Linked DNA regions of Coturnix japonica. The protein of the gene in region 2 purifies or fractionates together with the protein of the main gene of each other region. This does not show direct contact. Links are inferred from orthologs where the notes say so. Each region holds a gene or a part of one and is shown on either strand. Other genes may lie near its edges. The genes, in order: KATNBL1 and KATNA1.

Region 1 (3,820 bases), on a different chromosome or scaffold from region 2:
AGAACAGCGATTGTATTATGAGTATGGTACACTCAGGGATTACATGTATGTATCATGTTGTCCATGCAAGCAGCACATACCAATTTGGTTCTGTTCCTCTTCTTTCCTGTGGTCTCATCAGAAAATGTTCTAGGTTAGGAATTCTGTTGTCAAAAAGTTTTCCCTTGTCAAGAGATGGCAAATCTGAGAGGTGGGGTAGGAGAAACAGTTCTTAAAACATTGAATTTTACTATAAAATAAACATTTAGAAATTAATATTCAAATTATTGCTTATTTTTTAAGGGTTTTATGTATCTGTATGGTATAACTCAAATGAATTGTTAGTCCTTCATGATATTAACATTCTTTGCTGCCTCATTGGCATCAGGATGCTTATTTTTCCTGTTAGTGAATCTAGGATAATCAAACTGATTCTACCAACGTCAGCCTTCATTTTTTGTTATTGTTGTGCTTTGGAGAAATGTTTGCTGCTGCCATCTTTCCTGCATCTGCTAATCTGCTGGATTGTTGGCAATTAAGTGTTTATCAGAGATGGGTAATATTGCTTTTTTTATATTAGTCACAGTTTTTAGTTCTGTCAGTCTCTGATGTCACAATCCTACCTATTCCAAAGGCACCACAAACCTTTAGTTGATTGTGGTGCCACAAGGACAGCTGTACATCTGTATGTCACTGTGAAATAATTTGCAAAAATGCTACTGTAGCTGTGTGTCAATGAAATAGAGAAGGTGGCTGGGAGGGAATCTGCAGTGAATGCATTCCTTGAAAAAGCAGTGATACTGTTTGAGTCTTTTTAGTAATAGCCTGACTTTCTTTATTCCCTTTCTCCCAGGATAAGAAATCTCCAAAACAGCTGGCTTCATACACAAACAGGTAGGAGGGTCTTTCTGTTTAGAGTCTGAAGTTTCAGGAGGGAGCGAAGCAGGGAGGAAGAAGCAATTTAAATTTATTACAACACCCAAACTGTCACAATGAAAAATGGTAACTGTACTGACAGTGCTTGCTATTTGCCCATTTATGTAATGACTTTATTTTTAAAAAAGCAGAACAATAATATTGGTGGTAGAACTTATTTCTGATAACTCAAGTGTCATAAGGCTGTGTACTGGGGGTAAAATGTTGAAGTGGCCTGGAAGTTTAATGCTGAATTCATAATGATATATTTTAGATTCATATGAAGTATTGACTTAGGTTTAGAATTACCTTTACTAAAATATTCATGTGTTTTTGCAGAATAACAGTTGGAAAAACGGTGACCAGTCCCCTATTTCTCTTCAAAGCAGTACATTGTAAAAGAAAAGTCTATAGTTACACTGCAAAGCCTTGTTACAAGAAGAAACAGTTCCCTAAATCAAGGGGCTATAACATGGCAAATAAAGAAAATGAACTAGCTTGTGCAGGGAATCTGCCAGCAAAACTGAATGATGGTCGAACACACTTGCTGAATTCTAGTGACTCTGGCTCGTCTCAAACAGAAGGCCCCTCTTCCAAATATAGTGCATTTTTTTCAGAGGTAAGTTGAGCTTAAAGAAATCTGAGTTCAACATAAGTATTTGTAGTAGTTTTTGTGTAGTTGGCTGTGAAAGTTTTTATCGACCAGATTAGTTTTCTTAACATACAGATTGGCTCAGTTTGTGATTTGCAGTCTTTATTCCTCGATAGACTATGATTTAGTTGCCAGCAGTAGTAGTCCTGCCACTTTATCAGCACAAACTTAGATCTGACATCAAGCACCAAGTCAAAAATGTTGTTTTGTCCAGGTTAGATTTTATGACTTAAGTGGCCTAATTTGTTTTTAAGGTGTTATTGTATGGCTGGAAATAGCTAGTGAGGTTGGATGGGACTGTTTTTAATAGCTTTAGCTTGGTGTCAATGACAGCAATTTAAATTATTACATAAGACTGTTCTTACAGAGATTAGTAAGTATTAGTATGAGTAAAGTATTATTCTTTACTCATAGTAAAGAATTTCCTCCTAATATCTAACCTAAACCTACCCTTCTACTTAAGAAACCATTACCTTCTTGTCCTATCACTGTTCTACATGAGCAAGTCTCCCCATCTTTCTTGTAGGCTGTGTTTACATTGGCCTTCTTAATGTTTCCCCAAAGTCTTCTCTTCTGTAGCCTGATCAGTGAAAACTCCCTCAGCCTGTCTTCTCAGGAAAGATGTTCCAGCCCTCTGATTATCTTCATTGCCCTCCTCTGGACCTGTTCCGACAGCTCTGTGTTGCTCTTGTGCAAAGGGTCCCAGAGCTGGACGCATTACTGCAAATTGGGTCACACAAGAGCAGAGTAAAAGGGATCAACCACCTCCCTCAAACTGCTGGCCATGCTTCTTTTGATGCAGCACAGGAAATACAATGGACTTCCTGGGCTGTGAACTCACGTTGCTGGCTTATATTAAATATTCTCCAATTGATAAGCATCTAAACAAGCACTTCTCAGAGTTGGTGAGACTTAAAGGTTAATGCTTATGAGTGCTCTAATTATTAGATATCTCAATTCAGGTGTTTGCAAACTTTATTTCTGCAGATTTTGGGTAGAGTAGAAGGTCTGTTGGTGTCTGGTTCTAAGGTTGTTATTAGGAAAACTTCTAATAATTATACCAGGTGGTAAAATAGATTTTTATATACTCCAGCATTGCCATACTGAAGCAGCTTATTGTGTCATTGCTGACTACTTAACTTGCAGTAAATTTCTTCTGTATTCTTAAAAACATACAGGTTTCTCAGGACCATGAAACCATGGCTCAAGTTCTGTTTAGCAGGAATCTGCGGCTGAATGTTGCTTTAACCTTTTGGAGAAGGAGAAGTATAAGTGAACTGGTAGCCTACCTAGTGAGGTAATTTTTTCTCTCTTCCTCTGTATTCTTAAAGTGTAGCAAAACCCAAATATGATGCAGTCTTTTAGGGTTTCCTTAAATCTTGTAAATTAGCAATAATTACTTATTAATGGAAACACAGTTGAACCTATGTTCGACTAGTGATACTTGTTTTATCTTTCATGTTTCTAGGATACATGATCTTGGAGTTGTAGTAGACTGCCTTCCTGTGCTTACAAACAGGTACAAACAGAAAGTGGGACATGTGAACATGCTGTACCCACAGTGAATTTCTGGCACTTCTGAAACACCTTGTTTTTTTGTTTTTTTTTTTTAAGTTTACAGGAAGAAAAACCATATATTTCAGTTGGCTGCTGTGTAGATCTTTTGCCTTTAGTGAAATCACTACTTAAAAGCAAATATGAAGAGTAAGTATCAATTTCAGATGTCTAAATGCTCTTCCTTGCTGCTTGTGTTTTGCCCATGTATTTAAAGATGTTTTGTCCTCTGTCTCATCTTCCTTTCCACCAACCCTGCCTTTCTTGGGATAACACCTACCTAAAGGAGCCTCCGCATGAGCCCTCGTGTTGTTTTTAATAACATTCAGAAGTTTAAATTAAAAAAGAAGAAACTTCTGCAGAGTTAAGAACCACAGGGGAGGAGTTGCTTTTTGATGTCATGTAGATACAGTTGTAGATACAGTCATTCTAAACAGTAAAGCACAAGGGCAGCGAGGTTTCAGCATTTTCGGTAACACAAAATCAGTAAGACTTTCAGGTATAAGATAAATCTCACTACTTCTAAAGAAGAACTTCAGTTTACAACTTAAAAAATAAGAACACAAGCAATTGTCTAAAACAGAATTTGTCTAGGTTTGTCTTGCAAGACAGATGTGTTGCTTTCTAAGTTGCATTCTTGTATGAAGATATTAGCTGACCTGTGGATGTTTGAATCGTGTCAAATATGTTATTGCAGATATGTGATAGTTGGCCTAAACT
Region 2 (3,820 bases):
ACAGAAAATGGAAAAGTGATTTGGAAAGCATTTATCCAAATCAGAAGATGTGTTTTGACGTTTCATTTAAGATTAATCAGGATAAATTACCTTCATAAAAGTTGAATTTAACTTATTCACAGGAGAAGGTTTGTCAAAAGCATACAACTGCTTCAAGTGAAATGCAAGTTAGGTACCAAGAATATGCTAATGATAAGATTATAAGCATTAAAGTCTTTTCACTCTCCAAATGAAGTATTTACCAACCTACACTTGTGTTTATGAATATTTAGCCACCTCTGGATTCCATTACAAAGCTCAAAGTAAAGGAATAATCTGTTCTGACACCTCAGTTCCATCAAAATTAGTGTGTTCTGCTGTCTCAGTATAGAAACCTACAGAAATTATTCCAACACAACATGACCAGTTTTCACTGTGGCTTTTTCATCTTTACAACAACCCACCAGCTAACCAGCTGGCATAGTAAACGGAACAGAAAGAGTTCTGTCCACCAAGACTTTTCCTTTTTAGAGGTGTTCCAAAGTTATTAAATGAGATAAACAGAAACAATGTGAACAAAAGACCCATTTCTTTCAGAAAGCAGGCTTAAAATAAATCTGTGAGAAACGGCCTGTAAGCACAGAGCCTCAAAGAACAATCTGACCATACAGCTATGTAGGTCTAACAGTTACATTCTGTCAAAACACACAGTTCCACACCTGTCTTGCATGCTCTCCTGTCCTGTCCTTCATGCTATCTCTACCAGTTGTTACAAACTCCAGCTAAGTAGTGCAGAAAGCCACCCTCAGGCAAAACAAAACAGAACAAGCAAATGAGATTTTGTTGGTTTGGGTTTTTGTTTTGCTTAACAAAAAATTATGCAGCTGGTGTGTTATATAACTCGTATAAACTCTGGAACAAAATCTTCACAGGAACAGGCTGAAGTCAAAGTACACTTTGCACTGGTAAGTGTTAATACAAGTTACTTCTTACCTCCGCTCAGCAGGTACTGGCAAAGACCAGACTTCTGCATCATTAGCTGGTAGTTCTTGTTGTGAAGCTTTCAGTGGAGTACTGTCTAGTTTAAAACTCTCTAGTGTTTTCATGATATCTTTCACGTGCTTAGCTTCCACGCTTATCTCCTGCCAAACCTGATAAATAGGGAAAAAACAACAAAAAAAGTGGATTAAACACAGTGGAACTAAGTAAGTTTGAAGCAGACTTCTGCTTAAGACTAAGTAATGCCTGGATGGTCTTCACAAAGTTTTGTAAACTACCTGATCCTACTTTGCTAAACCATTAAAAACATCCTTCTGCTTTTCCCAGGATTAAGGAAAAGATTTTGAATTAAATACTAATGAGACATTTGACAAACTTTGTTTAATAAACATTATACATGAAAAGAGAACGCAACTTTATAGAGGGAACGTCAATGAAGAATTAACGTCTTGTGATAAGGATAAATTAACATGGAAGCCACAGGTCAGTTTCAATTAAGGATCTGTAAGTCACACTACTGAAACAGGGATTACGTGAAATATGATTGCTGAGAACAGTACTAGCTAGAAAAAAACCCAAAACTTCAGCACAGCAGGGGCACAGATCAGCAAGAAGAAGACAAGGCAGACAGTGCAATGGCTCCTCATGGATGTGTTTCATAGTCTACTTCATCAGTATCAGAGCATAACAAAGCCTTAAATATATACATACTACAATACTACAGTTTATCAGAGAATTATACAAATCTTTTTATACTTCTGTTCACCACCAACAAAGCACTTTCTGCTAGTTTAATGCTTTACCCTCAGAATGATGTCCCAGAAATGGATTATTTACCTGTTGCCACTTCTGCTGCAGGTACGTATCTCTGACAGAGTAGAGGTATTTATTCATCTGGTCAAGAACTCCCTGATAGTAGACCATTGCAGAGTCATAGTTTCCCAGTAAGGCATATTCACGGGCCAGCTTTACATTCTCACTGATCATAACAAGGCTCATGTTCAACATGAAGCTGAAAAAGACAGCAAACACTTACATTAATGAAAAAATCCAGGAGGAAAAAACATTTTCGCAACTATTTTTACATTATTGTTACCCTAACAATCATATCTAAATATAGAAGTGGGAAATACTTTGTTAATAAAAGAGTTCTAGAATGTATGTCGTCCATACAGAAAGTTAATTGTTTCTCTATTGAAAGAAATGGAACTTCTCATTTCACGCAAGACAGACTCTGATGAAAAGTATATGCAAAACATGCAGATTTAATGCATGTTTACAAGCCAAAACTGCACACTCTCCTTCCCTCTTTGCACTACTGCAAGATAATTCGGTATCTTACTGTTAGTGCTACAACATCCTCTGTTCTATAACCATAATAGTTAAAAAAGAAGAAAAAACAAACAAAAAAACACCCACAGCCAAAAAGCCCCAAACTTTCCTCCAGATGCGTTAGCGCTACAACTATTAACACAAGTACAGCAACAACTGGACTAGAATAGAATATCAAGCAAAAACAGGAGTAGGGCAGACTCAGACTCAGTCTTCCCAATTCAGCCTTTGTTCATACAGCAGTCCTCCTCTGTTTTACATATCATTTACATATCTCATTCCACACCTGCACCATCTCTATCCTTCCCATTGCTTACTCACCAAGAACTGACCTGCTCTCCTCCAAATTGCCTAGAACTAAGCACAGAAAACACCCAAATAAGCAAATAAACAAGCCTGTGAGAGTTGTCTTGCTCTCATTTCAGTACCTTTACCCAGGACCAGTAAGGAGCAATTGCAGACAAGCAATTACTGCTAAGCCCTGGGATGAAGCATACTTGATACAGATCAACTATTTAAAGAATGTAAGAGGCACTGAATTCATACGCACAATAAAAGGACTTAAAACAAAACATATTTCAAGACCAGGTCATGGTCAAAATTGGACACATTACCAGAGGTGTCAGAAGTCGTACTGCACACCAGATAATCCACAGCTAAAATGTGATGTTCCCTCCGTAAGGAGGAATCACAGAATTATCAAGGTTGGAAAAGACCTAGAAGATCATCTAGTCCAACCATCACCAATACTTCCCAGTTAAACCATATCCCCCAACACAACATCCAAACGTTTCTTGAACACCTCCATGGTCGGTGACTCCACCACCTCCCTGGGCAGTGCATTCCAGTGCCTAAAGGAGGAGCTGCTAAGTACAAATCAAACATTTTAAGGTTTCCGCTCCTCCTTTTTCTTTTCTCCTCACACGTAACTTTATGCATGGATTAATAAATGCTGATCCATTCTTAAGCCAACACAACTTCCTCCTTCCTTTCTCCACCTGCCTGGTTCCCCTCGAAGCAGGAAGCTGATGAGAAAAGCTTCAGCCCTAGCAGCAAAATTTGGCAGCAGTGGAGTTGGCGAGCAGCCCCACTAGCCCATGTGTAGCCACGTGCAGGGCCATGCAGGAGGGATGGCACCTGCAGGGCTGGGTCTGGAAGCTCACTACTAGAGCCTGCACCACACAGCTCATTCTGCCCAGAGACCTGCTGAGCCTGCCACAGCCGCATCTGCAAACTGGGATGGTTCCCGTGACCAGCAACTACAAAGCCTGCCATGTCCCTGTGTGATTAGGCTCTGGAGACACAACTTGACTTGGGAGTATTGTTGCGTTTTTTAACCTCAGGAGAAAGAGCCTGAAGATATTTGTCAACACCTGCCTGGATCATCACACAGATGTTACCAAAGTTGTACTACTATATTTAGGAGCAAGCTTTTCCACCCGTGCTCATCCTACCAGATACACCTGTTTGCCTGTCCTGAGAATTCAAACCCATGACTAACACCTCTGAA

The links.
Region 1: the proteins of KATNA1 (region 2) and KATNBL1 purify together in Homo sapiens (affinity purification with mass spectrometry; 3 studies listed by BioGRID and IntAct, counting the BioPlex papers as one, with this or other methods). This does not show direct contact. The link is inferred for Coturnix japonica from reciprocal best matches to the Homo sapiens genes KATNA1 and KATNBL1.

Annotation. Positions count from the first base shown.
Region 1 is NC_029520.1:26,549,125-26,552,944, reverse strand, and holds part of KATNBL1 (KATNB1-like protein 1), read left to right. Parts: intron 1-832; coding exon 833-873; intron 874-1,233; coding exon 1,234-1,513; intron 1,514-2,724; coding exon 2,725-2,843; intron 2,844-3,014; coding exon 3,015-3,065; intron 3,066-3,160; coding exon 3,161-3,250; intron 3,251-3,797; coding exon 3,798-3,820.
Region 2 is NC_029518.1:43,361,371-43,365,190, forward strand, and holds part of KATNA1 (katanin p60 ATPase-containing subunit A1), read right to left. Parts: intron 1,991-3,820; 5' UTR 1,987-1,990; coding exon 1,816-1,986; intron 1,131-1,815; coding exon 973-1,130; intron 1-972. UniProt on the Homo sapiens protein: Catalytic subunit of a complex which severs microtubules in an ATP-dependent manner. Microtubule severing may promote rapid reorganization of cellular microtubule arrays and the release of microtubules from the centrosome following nucleation.